Linked DNA regions of Caenorhabditis elegans. The protein of the gene in region 1 purifies or fractionates together with the protein of each later gene. This does not show direct contact. Each region holds a gene or a part of one and is shown on either strand. Other genes may lie near its edges. The genes, in order: fnta-1 and trp-1.

What was found.
Region 2: the proteins of fnta-1 (region 1) and trp-1 fractionate together in Caenorhabditis elegans (co-fractionation; one large-scale study listed by BioGRID). This does not show direct contact.

What each region holds. Positions count from the first base shown.
Region 1 is NC_003282.8:236,871-241,833, reverse strand, and holds fnta-1 (Protein farnesyltransferase/geranylgeranyltransferase type-1 subunit alpha), read left to right. Parts: upstream 1-1,526; 5' UTR 1,527-1,535; coding exon 1,536-1,659; intron 1,660-1,710; coding exon 1,711-2,215; intron 2,216-3,370; coding exon 3,371-3,614; intron 3,615-3,758; coding exon 3,759-3,872; 3' UTR 3,873-4,243; downstream 4,244-4,963. Other genes in the region: cogc-8 (Conserved oligomeric Golgi complex subunit 8), read right to left, coding at 9-127, 211-321, 375-578, 628-738, 790-960, 1,011-1,135, 1,182-1,245; ints-13 (Protein asunder), read left to right, coding at 4,384-4,819.
Region 2 is NC_003281.10:8,534,123-8,542,028, forward strand, and holds the start of trp-1 (Transient receptor ion channel domain-containing protein), read left to right. Parts: upstream 1-1,797; coding exon 1,798-1,823; intron 1,824-2,224; coding exon 2,225-2,365; intron 2,366-2,697; coding exon 2,698-2,755; intron 2,756-2,802; coding exon 2,803-2,959; intron 2,960-3,008; coding exon 3,009-3,222; intron 3,223-3,278; coding exon 3,279-3,666; intron 3,667-3,772; coding exon 3,773-3,922; intron 3,923-3,966; coding exon 3,967-4,104; intron 4,105-4,186; coding exon 4,187-4,383; intron 4,384-4,427; coding exon 4,428-4,608; intron 4,609-4,861; coding exon 4,862-5,431; intron 5,432-5,601; coding exon 5,602-5,801; intron 5,802-7,595; coding exon 7,596-7,817; intron 7,818-7,906. UniProt on the Caenorhabditis elegans protein: Could mediate calcium entry and form a calcium permeant channel.

The DNA.
Region 1 (4,963 bases):
ATCCTCACTTAACATCCGCCTTTGTGATAAGATCCAACATTTTCTTGACATTCGAAATAACCCATTGTGACAGAATCGAGTTTGGTGGCAGAACTGGCCATGATTCCCATCTCGGATCAGCATTCGGCTGAAAAAAAAGTGAAATAAAATTGTTTTATTATTCTTGGCTATTGTTTTTTGCTCAAAATTTTTTCGATTTGATTCCCTTACATTTTTTCGAACAACTTCGTTTTCCGGAAACACTGCAAGATAAAGCACGAGAGTGTCGTACATACTGGTACGGTAGATCTCGATCGCCTGCACAATCATGTCAACATTTCCCTGAAAAAAACGAAATAAATTGTATTAAATATGTTGTGATTGGCATTTCTCACTGAAATATCTAAAATCTGTTTTTCCAGATAAATATCCCGGTGCTGAAGAACGGCGATTCTCAGCTGATTCGCTGTCAATGAGGGCATCTTTCGAACGTTATTCACAACTTTGATGGATTCTGCAAGATCCAGTGGCCCAGCGAATTTGTTGAAAAGTTCCTCCAAAAGATAAGCACGAGCTTCGACTAGGTGGTCCGCGACTTTCTAGAATTATTTTTTACGTTTTTAACAGGTTTTCCTGGGGATTTCAGACTTTTATCAGCGGATTCCGGTAGAGTTGAGTCTGTTGTTGAAGTTGCAAGCCATAATTGGTCAATGTGTAAGCCAGATCATAGTATCCTGCACGAATGCAAATGTCCATGCGCTAAAATGTTTTAAAATTACAAAGAAAAAAGAAAAGTAGATGTAGAATTACCGAGGGTAGCGTCAAAAGCTCCCAGATCGGATTTGACTTGTCCAGTGCTTTTCTGACAAGATCCTGCTCTTCAGAAAGCTGTTTAGCTTTTGCTCTAAACTCTACAAACGCAGAAGTCAACTCCTCTGCTTGATCCGACAGATTTACAGTTTTATCGCGCATTTCTCCGAACTGAAATTATTTAGGGTTTAGACTTTAAATAGATTTTTTCGTGAAATTACAGTTTTCGAGCAATCGTGAGTGGCTCTTCCAGCGTCTGCATATGTTCCATAATTATTGAATGCTAAATCACTAATCTGGGCGTCAATCGCCTTCAGCTCGCTGGCCAGCAGCACCTTTTGACGTCCTGAACGATTTTTCGATGAATTTTCACATTATTGCAGATTACTTACGCATTTCTTCAAGTCCCATATTGCGAATATCATCTCCATTATGAAATATATAATCAGAATCCATGATTTCCTACAGTAAAGGCAAATCGGCGATAAGAAAGAAATCGCGTTGGCTGCCCGTAAATCCACATGAGAGCCGGAGTGTTTGCGGAGAGTGCGCAGGAAATTACGACACTTTGCACCGTTTAACTTTAAATCCATTTTTTTTCTTTTCCGAGTTGTTCGAGCATTTAAGACGTTTTTTCCAGTTTCCAGCTCAATTTTTATTGAAAAATATTTAGAAAAAATTCAAAATTTAATGTTTTCCCCTTCAAAATCCAATATTAACGAAAAATAAGCTTGCAGGCGGAGAAAATGTCGGACAGCGATATTCCATCTTCAACTCTCTACAAAGATAACGTAGATTGGAAGGATATTACGCCGATCTACCCGAGTAAGGAGGAAGAAGTTGCTGTTAAGATCGCTGTTACGGAAGACTGTAAGAAATTTTGAGATCAAATTAATAATTATTCAAATTTTAATTTTGCAGTCACCGATGCTTTCGCCTACTTCCGTGCAATTCTAATAAAAAACGAGAAGTCGGATCGAGTGATGGCACTTCTCGAGGATTGCATTAGACTTAATCCAGCGAATTACACAGTTTGGCAGTATCGCCGCGTGTGTCTCACCGAGTTGGGATGGGATTTGAAGAAGGAGATGCGGTATCTCAGCGATATTATTCAAGAATCACCGAAAAACTATCAAGTCTGGCATCACCGTCGCTTCATCGTCGAAACGATTGGAGAAAGTGCGGTGAACGATGAGCTTCATTTTTGCTCGGAAGTCATCCGCGACGAGAACAAAAACTATCACGCGTGGCAGCACCGTCAATGGGTTGTACGGACTTTCAAGGTTCCACTGGAGAAAGAGCTCACATTTGCTCTTCACATGCTTCTTCTCGATAATCGCAACAATTCGGCGTATAATTATCGCTATTTTCTGATGACTCTCTACGATAAGACGGAGGATGCGAGCCAGCTTGACATTGAGATCAAGTAAGGAAATATAACAGCGATCAATTTTTTGTTCACGATTAGCGTTTTTAGTGGAGAAACATCTATCTGATGTAGAAAGCGATTCAGAAACTAAAAATCTCCGAAAATTCCAGAATATTCTTCTCAATTTCTGATTTTTAGTGATGAAAACTACCTAAAAATTGAAAACTGTCCAAATATTTGATTAATCAAACATGAAGATAACTTTGAAAGTAAAAATTTTTGGTTGAGGCTGAAGAGTTTGGGTGAGGCTAAGAGTTTGGTTGAGGCTAAGAGTTTGGTTGAGGCTAAGAATTTGGTTGAGGCTAAGCGTTTGGTTGAGGCTAAGAATTTGGTTGAGGCTGAAGAGTTTGGTTGAGGCTAACAAGGAAAGGAAGTCAATCTAGTATCGGACTTTAAATTGAGACGTATGTCATTTGAAAGCTTATGTTTAGACTAGATCACCACAAAAATTTCAGCGGCGGAACTCAACTCTGAACCCCTGAAATCGCCATCTGAAAATTTTTCTCTGCGCCCTCCTAGTTTTCAATACTATTTCGTACTTATTCATTTTACTTATACAAAAAATGATTTTCAATCATTATGAAATGGTTACAAACATGGAAAACAATAAAAAACAACGGTTGATGGCCGAATGGTAAACGCTTGGAATAATAAAATAAAGGTCTCGTGTTCGATTCTTTCAGTGGAAATAATTTTTTTCTTCAACTTTTAAAAACTGCAATCGGGCCCTTTGTAAAAAATTGTAAAAAATTGTAAAAAGGCTCAATTCGAAGAAATATGTAGCTTTTTGCATGCCCGGATACAAAAAAATAGTTTTGGAATTTTTTCAAAAAAAAAAATTTTTGACCAAAAATTTGGTGTCCAATGGATCGAAAAAATTTCAGATTTTTTTCAAAAAAATAAAAATTTCCAAAAAGCTCCCACATTGTTTGTTAGACCCTAAAAACCCCCAAAAACAATTTCTAATCTCTCAGAACCCCTTTTGAGGCCATTTACTTGATATAGAAGTCAGCGAAAAAATGCACTGGAGCATAGATAGATTGACTTCCTTTCCTTGTAAGAGTTTGGTTGAGGCTAAGAGTTTGTTTGAGGCTAAATAGTTGTTGCACATCTTCCATTAAACTTGAACACAAAACCTCTCAATTTTTCTAGCCTCGCCAAGAAGTTCATTGAGAATATTCCGAACAACGAAAGTGCCTGGAACTACCTCGCAGGGCTTCTCATCACAAATGGAGTAACCTCGAACAGTGATGTTGTCAGTTTTGTGGAGGATTTGTATGAGACAACTCCTGAAGAGAAACGGTCACCATTCCTTCTTGCATTTATCGCCGATATGATGCTCGAAAATATTGAAAACCAAAAGTCTGCGGAAGAAAGCGCTGGGCGCGCTAAAAAGGTTTGTAAGTCTAGAAAGTTCATGAGAAATGGGATAACATTGGAGAATTTTTAACTAAAAATTTCCTTTTTTTTAATTAAAAGTGCACATTTTCGCTTTAAATGAATTTGCGCTCTAAACGCCTCAAATTCCCGAAATTTCCAGCTCTACAAGGATCTTCAATCGATCGACCCGGTTCGAGTCAACTACTACCGCCATCAGAGTCTTCTTGCTCAAACGATGCTCATCAAGGCACAGACGAAGGTCACTGCCAAGTAATTCTTTCTGAATTCCACGTTTTTTTTGTATTTATATGTTTTTGTGTAAGTATATCCCAATGATTTCCCACAATTTGCCGTCCTACTTATTTATTTAAAAAATTTTTTTTTAAATTATTATTCAATGATGCTTTTTTTATAGTTTATTCTTAATTTTTATACCTTTTGTCACGTTTTTTAGTTGAAAGGCAAGAGAAAATGGAAATTTCCGAGGCACAGCGGCACTCCGATATCTTTCATGCGCCTTTAAGTTTGGAGTACTGTAGATTTTGAATTTTTTTTCTTGAATTATTGCAAATAATTGAAATATTTCGAAATCAACTGTTTATTCATCATTTCGGCTACCAGTTTTCTTTGTTTCTGAGAGAAATATTAAAAATTTATTCTTCTTTTCCAAATTTAAATTTCGATGATACAAGAACCCCTGACAGAATTTAATTTTTCTCGGGAAAAGCGTTGTTTATTCTTCAAAAAAAATCGATTCTAAATTTCTTAAAAATAAAATTATTAAGATGGAACAACGGGATATGAAAACCGTTTTTCTGCTGGATCGGAGCGCGAAATTCGTGGAAAACTGTAACGAAACGTTCGATGTCACAATTCGAGAAGGCCCAAAACAGAAGAAACTTCAATTCGAAAAAACCATTTGGACGTGGTGCCTTGAGGGAATCTTCGAAATGCACAGAATTCTGAGTGACGTCTATCCACGTGGCACTCTACAGCTTCGATTTGCCCTGGCGGACTTCATGGGAAAGATGTTGGATACGCAGTGGACGGACGGATTTTTGACTCGAGAAGAGCTCGGAGAACTCATTGAGACTGTGAGCCGCCCGAGTGAGGCTAATACTGATATTACACCAATTGGTGGATTGACTATGGCCATTGAAGCGTTGGCTGTGCAGTCGCCTGAACAGAGAAATTATAATTATGATGTACGATATAGTGCAAGTGAGTATTTCCTTTTGAAACATTAATTATTTTATCCAAAATCGTAATTATGATCATCTGGAAATCTTTAAAAAAAAGGTTTTACACTAGTTTTACACGAAATCTATGGTTTTCAAGCCTTTTTTACGTAGAAAAACTATCGAA
Region 2 (7,906 bases), on another chromosome or scaffold:
CGTTTTGACAGGAAAACGAAGGCTCATCTCGTCAAATTCGGGGCGACATCTTCCTTTTCTTTTCCATCTGCTTCTTCTCCTTCTTTCTTCTGTTTTTCTTCTTTTCTCTTTTAGATCATTCTTCTTATTCAACCGCCGTGGTTCCTCTTTCTCCACTCTTCATCATCATCTTCACACTCACTGATTTTTTGAGCCATTCCCATCTACTCTTATCCACCCCCTTCGGGCATTTTTCACACACTTTCCTTCAGTCTTTCCACCTCTTTCCGTGTCTACTGGGTTAGAGAATTTCAAGCTTATGAACATCTTCTTCGAACAGTTTTAAATTGTGTGCCTGTTGTTTACTTGAATTTGTGTTCGGCTAATTCTTTTGAGTCGGGCTAAGTTCCTGTCTACCACCTATTTTTGCATTTACAATTAGAAGCAAACTCTGGAAATTGTTAATTTTTTTCTCGTGCTGTTTAAATGAAAAAAAAACGGATAGTTGATTTATTATTTTTTTCGAAGTTCAAGTAGGAGCATTTTCATTAGTTACACTGGAAATGCATTTTCAAGCTTAAAAGCAAAGTAATTATTATTGACAACTGTTTGATCAAAATTCATCCCATTCATCCCTCTATTTTGTAGAAAAAAGGTGAAAAATAGCTTGAGAAAAGGATCTCTGATTTATTGTAAACACCTTGTTGTCAAATCACAGACACTTTTTAAAAAAGAAAACATCTCAATTGACAACAGTTGTTTCAATGACCAAACTCCTCTTACTATCCAGACAAACAAATGTTCACAAAAAATACATTTTCCCTCCTGGTCATCCATAGCTCAAAGACCCCACCACGTGTCCCATGTTTTTGAACTTTCAGAAATGTCAGGTCCGTTGGGAAATCTTCCAAATATTTTCTCAGAGATTTGTAGACGTTCTTTCATTTGTTTGTCTTTCCGAGAAGCTGAAAACCTATTTGTATTATACATGTGTCTACTGCCTGAGCAATTTGATATTCGATATTCGCAATGACAAAAGAAGGGTAGGTAATTGGAGGCAACAGCTGATCCGTCTGTGGTTTATAGAAAAAATCTATCTGACATTTTTTGGAGTATCATCGGTGAGGTTTTTTATTGAAATACCCTCATAAAAGCCCATCATGATGAAATATTGAAGTTTTTAAATTTTTTAGTGGTTTCGAGACTTGCTTAAGGCCTACAAAGTTCATATATAAAAAGTAATATACAATGCCCCACCTAAGTTAAGGGATTAAATTGAGTTGGTATTTAAAAAATACAAAAGAGAAGCGCGGTGCGATCGACCTTTTTTGGCTGTAGTTTTAGTTTCTAAATAAAGGTTTTTTGTTCTGAAAAACCTTTCATATACAATTTTTTATTAGTATTATACTTGCAGTTTTCAAACTACCTATTACTGTCCTTCTCTATTTTGAATAATCCTAAAATTATTATTTCTCAACTCAGTCGTCCTCTCGTTTCTTCGTCGAAGTTTCCACATGTGTTTTCATTTTCCATTTAATTTCCCATGTCTCATCACTTCACAATCATCATCATCTGTTAGAAATTTGTCCTCACGGGATTTTGACACAACTATAAAAATTTCTTTCCTCTATCCTTTGACCGACTTTAAACATTTTTTTCGAAAAAAAATTGACGAAGAGGTTTTTGTTTAATTTCAATTTTTGTCTCTCAGATAAACTTGTAAATTTGTATAAGCTTTAAAAATGTTCAGCTTCTTCTATTCTTCTCACTAGGACTAGAAGAAGCTTCTATCAATTCGTGCCGACAACAACGAAGGGAATGATTGGAATGGAGGATGGCGTCCGGTGCGCATAACTTTTTAGAAGGAAATATAGACGAGACCCTCCACTTGAGTTAATAAGTTTTTCGAGTGCTCTATAACTTAAGAATCAGGGGGCTATGTTAAGCATTTGCGGGGGCTCTAGACTGAACTACGTAAGCGCGGGGTGTAATAGAGGGACCACAACAAAACGATTTTATCGGTTGTTTCTTTCCAATTTGCCCCAACAACTAGCCATCAAACGTTTAACAAGAAAGTTTGGCGGAAAAGCACAAACGATTCAATTTTATTAGGAGGAGCTTTTTTCCCTGCTTTCCACTCTATCAAAGTAGATTTTACTTCACTTTGCCAAAGTACAAACACACAAAAAAAAACTCTAGGGGCACCTTAAAGCAGGAAATGGAATAATTTTGTTTAAAATTGAAGGATGCTGTCGGCAGCAGGACGCCGATTCTCTCGATGTGCTCCATCGCCAAGGCCAAGGAGGAACTACGCTTTGGCGAATATCCCACCACCGGCTGCTGTTCACATTCGGACAAATGATATGATTAGTCCAGAAGAAAGAAGGTTTGTTGTTTTATAAAGTGTTGGGCACTTTTCCAGTAAAAACATTTCTCCGTACGTGTTTTCATCTTGAGCTTTTTCAGCATTTATATTAAAACTTACCATAGTTTAGCTATTGGTATTGCACCATAAGTAGTTTTGTTAGATATATTAATTGAACTAAAGACAATCTGCTACTCGTAGGGGCTTACCTTTAAGCTGCTCGAAACGACCTCAATATATTTATATATAATAAACAATAATAATGGGTTATTTTCGAGAAAAAGTCGTGTAAAAAGTTTAAAACACGCCCAATTATTACATGGTTACTACATATTGTCTAATAATCTGTTTAGGTTCCTCGAAGCTGCAGAACTTGGAAACAAGCCCACATTACAAGAATGCTTGGATTACGTGAGTTATTTCAAATCATTGTTTTTTTGAAATTAAAATTATTGAAGGACGGAGACCGCCGTCTCAACGTGAATTGCCTCGATTCAATGGGAAGAACAGCTTTGGAAATTGCAGTTGACAACGAAAATATGGAAGTTGTTGAACTTTTGCTCCAACAACCAGATATCAGAATTGGCAATGCACTGCTATGTGCAATCCGAGAAGGTCCGTAAACCACAGCATTTTTAAAAAATATTTTTTATAATTATTCCAGGTGTATATCGTCTTGTCGAAGTTCTTGTAAATCATCCGAATATTACTCGAGAAATGCTTGGAGACGGTTGGAGTCAAGCTCTTGATCCTTCCGAAGCTGCTAGTGCCGAATATTCAAGTGATATTTCTCCGGTTATATTGGCAGCACAACTCAACCAATTTGAGATTTTGCAAATGTTAATTCGAAAAGATGCAAGTATTGAAAAACCGCACAGGTATTTTTTAAAATACAAACAAATTTGGGGTCGAAATACCAATCCTAACATTTCAGACATTCCTGCATTTGCGAAACATGCGATCGTGAGCGTTTGAACGACTCATTACAGTACTCTCTAAAACGAATCAACACATTTCGAGCTCTTGCAAGCCCTGCATGGATGTCTCTTACAAGTCCCGATCCAATTCTATCCGCTTTCAAACTTTCATGGGATCTACAACGATTGGCATTTGAGGAGCATGAATTCAAAGAGACATATTTGCAACTTTCGGAGCAATGTAAACAATATTCATGTGATTTATTAAGTCAATGTCGAAGTTCTGAAGAAGTTATCGCAATTTTAAATAAGGATGGAAATGTGAATGATGATAATATTGATGTTTGGGCAAGTAAACTATCGCTTTCAAGGTTAAAACTGGCTATCAAATATGAACAAAAAGCTGTGAGTTATTTTTTTTGAAATTGTGCAACAAATAATTTATTATTTCAGCTCAACTAAATTCCCTGAACACATATTATTAAACTTAATCAAACTTATCAATTTTCAGTTTGTCTCTCATCCTCATTGTCAACAGTTGCTCACCTCTATCTGGTATGAAGGTATTCCATATCGGCAGCGGAGTGGTACCTGGGCTAATTTTTTCCTCTACGCTTTTCTACTTTTTCTCTGGCCAATATTCTGTCTCATGTATATTCTAGTGAGTATTTGAAAAATTTTCAATTTTGACAAAGATAATTTCAGATGCCAAAAAGCCGATTGGGTCGGTTAGTACGGTCTCCATTCATGAAATTCTTTTACTACTCGGTGTCGTTTGCAACGTTTTTAGGACTTTTAACGTGGGCCACTTTTGAAGATTATCGATACGAAAAAGGAGAAAGGGTTAGTTTTAAGAAATTTGGAACATTTCTGAAGTTGAAATTATTAACTCAAAAAAATTCTATATAGGAAATCATATTTCCAGGGTGGAATGACAAGAGCATCTGACCGTGGTCCACCAGCAACATGGGTTGAATCACTCGTATTCACATGGGTAATTGGAATGTTATGGTCAGAAATTAAGCAATTATGGGAAGAAGGTTTTAAACGATATATGAGACAATGGTGGAATTGGCTTGATTTCCTGATGATTTGCCTTTATTTATGCACCATTTCAATAAGGTATAATATATCAGAACTATACAAAATATAAAATTGATTTTCAGACTAAGCGCGTATTATATCTTTACATATCGTGAGGATCCATATCGGTACACAGTCCGCACATATTGGACATCTGAAGAACCAATGTTGGTAGCGGAGGCGTTGTTCGCTGTTGGAAATGTTTTTTCGTTTGCTCGAATTATTTACTTGTTCCAGACAAATCCGTATTTGGGGCCACTGCAGGTAAATAAATTTTGCATATAGCAATAAATAATTGACTTTGTGCAGAAGGGATAGTGTTGGGCAATACTCGGTTTAGACCGAGCCCCCAGCCAGCAAAGTTAAAAAGGTCAAATTTGGCCAGTTGGAGCAAACTGAAATAAAACTTGGACTCAGCCTAAACACAGTCTTGCACAAATTTTTCCACCTTTCAAGCCAAGTTATTTTGTGTTAAAACAAAAATGAGCCTCACTTTCAATTAAAAGACAATTTTCAGATATCCCTTGGATGTATGTTGGTGGACGTTGCAAAGTTCTGCTTCATCTTCGTCCTAATAATAAGTTCTTTCTCAATTGGCCTTGCTCAACTCTACTGGTACTATGATCCAAATACAGATGTATGCCTACCTGGTGCCACATGCAAACACAGTTCCAATGTATTCTCCTCGATTGCCGATTCCTATTTGACACTTCTCTGGTCTCTATTTTCGATTACAAAACCAGAAGATACCGATGTTGTGGAAAATCACAAAATAACTCAATGGGTTGGACAAGGAATGTTTATTATGTATCATTGTACTTCAATAATTGTCTTACTTAACATGCTCATTGCTATGATGTCTCATTCGTTTCAAATTATCAATGATCATGCGGATCTTGAATGGAAGTTTCATCGAACGAAGCTTTGGATGGCTCACTTCGATGAAGGATCAAGTCTTCCACCTCCATTTAATATTATAGTCACTCCGAAGTCATTAATATATGTGATGAATTGTCTATTCAACACTGTCAGATGGCTTCTAGGAAAGTACACTTATCAGAAAAACAGGAATCGGGCAACTATCAGGGTAAGATTTTCGAATTTTGAAAATGAAAACTGCCTCCACAACAAATTCGATGCAAAATTAATAGAAGCTGTGAAACCGAGGAAATACGGTCAATAATCTTCAAAGACGTTTACCAGAACTACCAAGAAAATATAAAGCATTCATCTTTACTTATTTTTCCCTTATTCCAGCGTCCTGGCTATTCTCGAAAAAGAAATGAAATGGAAAAATCTGGTGGTCACGACGATGATTCTTTGAAACCATTGACATATGCTGATATAATTACAAGACTTGTGGCAAGATTTATACATCAAACAAAGAAAGATATGAAAATGGACGGAGTTAATGAAGATGATCTACATGAAATCAAACAAGACATTAGTAGTTTGAGGTGAGCCATTTTAAAATTTTTATATGAAAAATTTCAAGATCCTACAATATCTTCGTTTCATCCAAATAGCAGTTGAAAATCTGCCAAGCAGCCTCTAATAAATGCCGAGTGTACAGACTCCGCCCCTTTTTCGCGTTTTTTCGCGTTTTTTTTGGCTTGCGAAAAAATGTCACACTACGTTTTCATTCACAACTCCTGAACCGTGTGACTTCATGCTCTAATATTTGAAATCCTACTAGAAATATTTTGCCCCACGGTGGAGCAGAAAACGGCACTAAGTTCGGAGCAAAATTGAGCCCAGGGCGGCTTTCCCCAGTTTGAAAAAATTTTTTGTTGCTCTTTTTACCCCCAAAAAAGCATGTTTTAATTGAATTAAAATTCGGGTTTTGCTCGGTTTTGTTTCAAATTTATGTGCAAGATACTACTCAGAGAGACTGATTTTTTGAAAAAAAGTTTGAGTTTATAAGTGCAAAAGGAAAAAAGTTGTGATAAAACAAAAGGCCAAAAAATGACATTTTGCCAAAAAAAAATTTTTTTCCGAAAAAGTAGTTTTTCGTCTTTATCTCAAGTTCTACTTCATCTTTTTCGATACTTTTTTTTCTACCCCACGTAAAAAAGTACGCTGAACACGATTTTCAACTCAGAATTAAGAAAAGTTTTATGAGTCGGCCGAGCAAGACGAATAAGTGCCACATTTTGCACACTTTCCCATTTTCGCGAATCTACTTTTTCAATCATAACTCGGTCAGTTTTCAAGTTTTCTTAGTTTTCCAAAAATTGACGTGTAGGTCTCATCAAGACGCATCGAGACATATAAAATGTGTAAAAAGTTCAGTGGGAAAGTTTTTCAAGAAAACAATAATTCAAAAATTTAGTATTGGGGGGAGTGGTTTCCTGGGTCTCCTGAACATTTTTTCCACTAAAGTTTTGCGGAATGTATTTTTGATTCATAGTTTTTGATTTTATTTAATGGAAGATGAAGTTTCGTCGCATTAGAAATACTCTGCCAAGAGATATTATTTTTATTAATTTTCAGGCCAAAACTTGTTTTTTTCTACAAATCGACCGGTTTACGAGGTATAGCCCTCAACTGTACGTCTCCTTTTTGGGAAATCAATAATGAGTACAATCCTGTAATAAAATTTTCAAAAATTCGTTTTCCCGCTGACATATCAGTAATAAACGGTTTTCGAACGTCTTCCCCAAATAGTAATAATTGAAGAAAGCGGAATCGAAAGACGACTTCCTCCAGAAAATTTTCTTCCCTACATCCCAGTTTGAGGTGTCTCCTGCATGGTCGAGTGGTTAGTGCGAATGACTGCAGAAATTTTGGTAGTTGGTTCAATTCTACCAAGTGATAAATTTTTTTGTTTTTTTGTGAGTAATCGGGATTCGAATAGAAATACTCGATTTCATACAAAATATGGGTACGTCTCCCCTAATATAAAGCCTCCTCAAACTTCAATCAATCAAAACTCAGCTTTAACTGATTCATCGGGTGCATCTGTTTTTGGTCAAACCGAACTCAAAAATCAATAAGACTCCCACCTACTGAAATTTTCACGAACCCTCTAACAGGTTCGAGGCGAAGCCGAGAGCCTACGCCCGGCAAGGGGACTCGCCTTACACCCCCTACAACCGGCGGGCCCGCAGGGCCCGCTAGTCTGAAAATCTAGAAATACAGAAAAGTTTTGGTTTTTAGGTAAAAACGATTCTGTATTTTTAGATTATCAGATTAAATATCCAGCTTTTTCCTGCTCAAAAAATTATCATAATTTAATTAATACGTTAAAGATACGAACTCCGAGATGATCGTCGTCGTGAAATCGTTCGCAGCTCATCACATATTGATGCAGTGAAACGAGATATTATGCGTACAATGAGTACAACATCACGTCGACCTTACGGTGGAAGTATGCGTCTTCCAAAGACACGACCATCAGTTGCAGAAGAATCAGAAGAAGATGATAAAAGTGATGAAACAAGTTCAACAGACGAGGAGGCTGATGAGACGAGGTTTTTCCTAAAGTACTTTCTTTCAAAACTTCTACGCTTTTTTCAGTTTTAAAAATAGTGTAGTGTAGTTGAAACTCCTTATTTGCAGT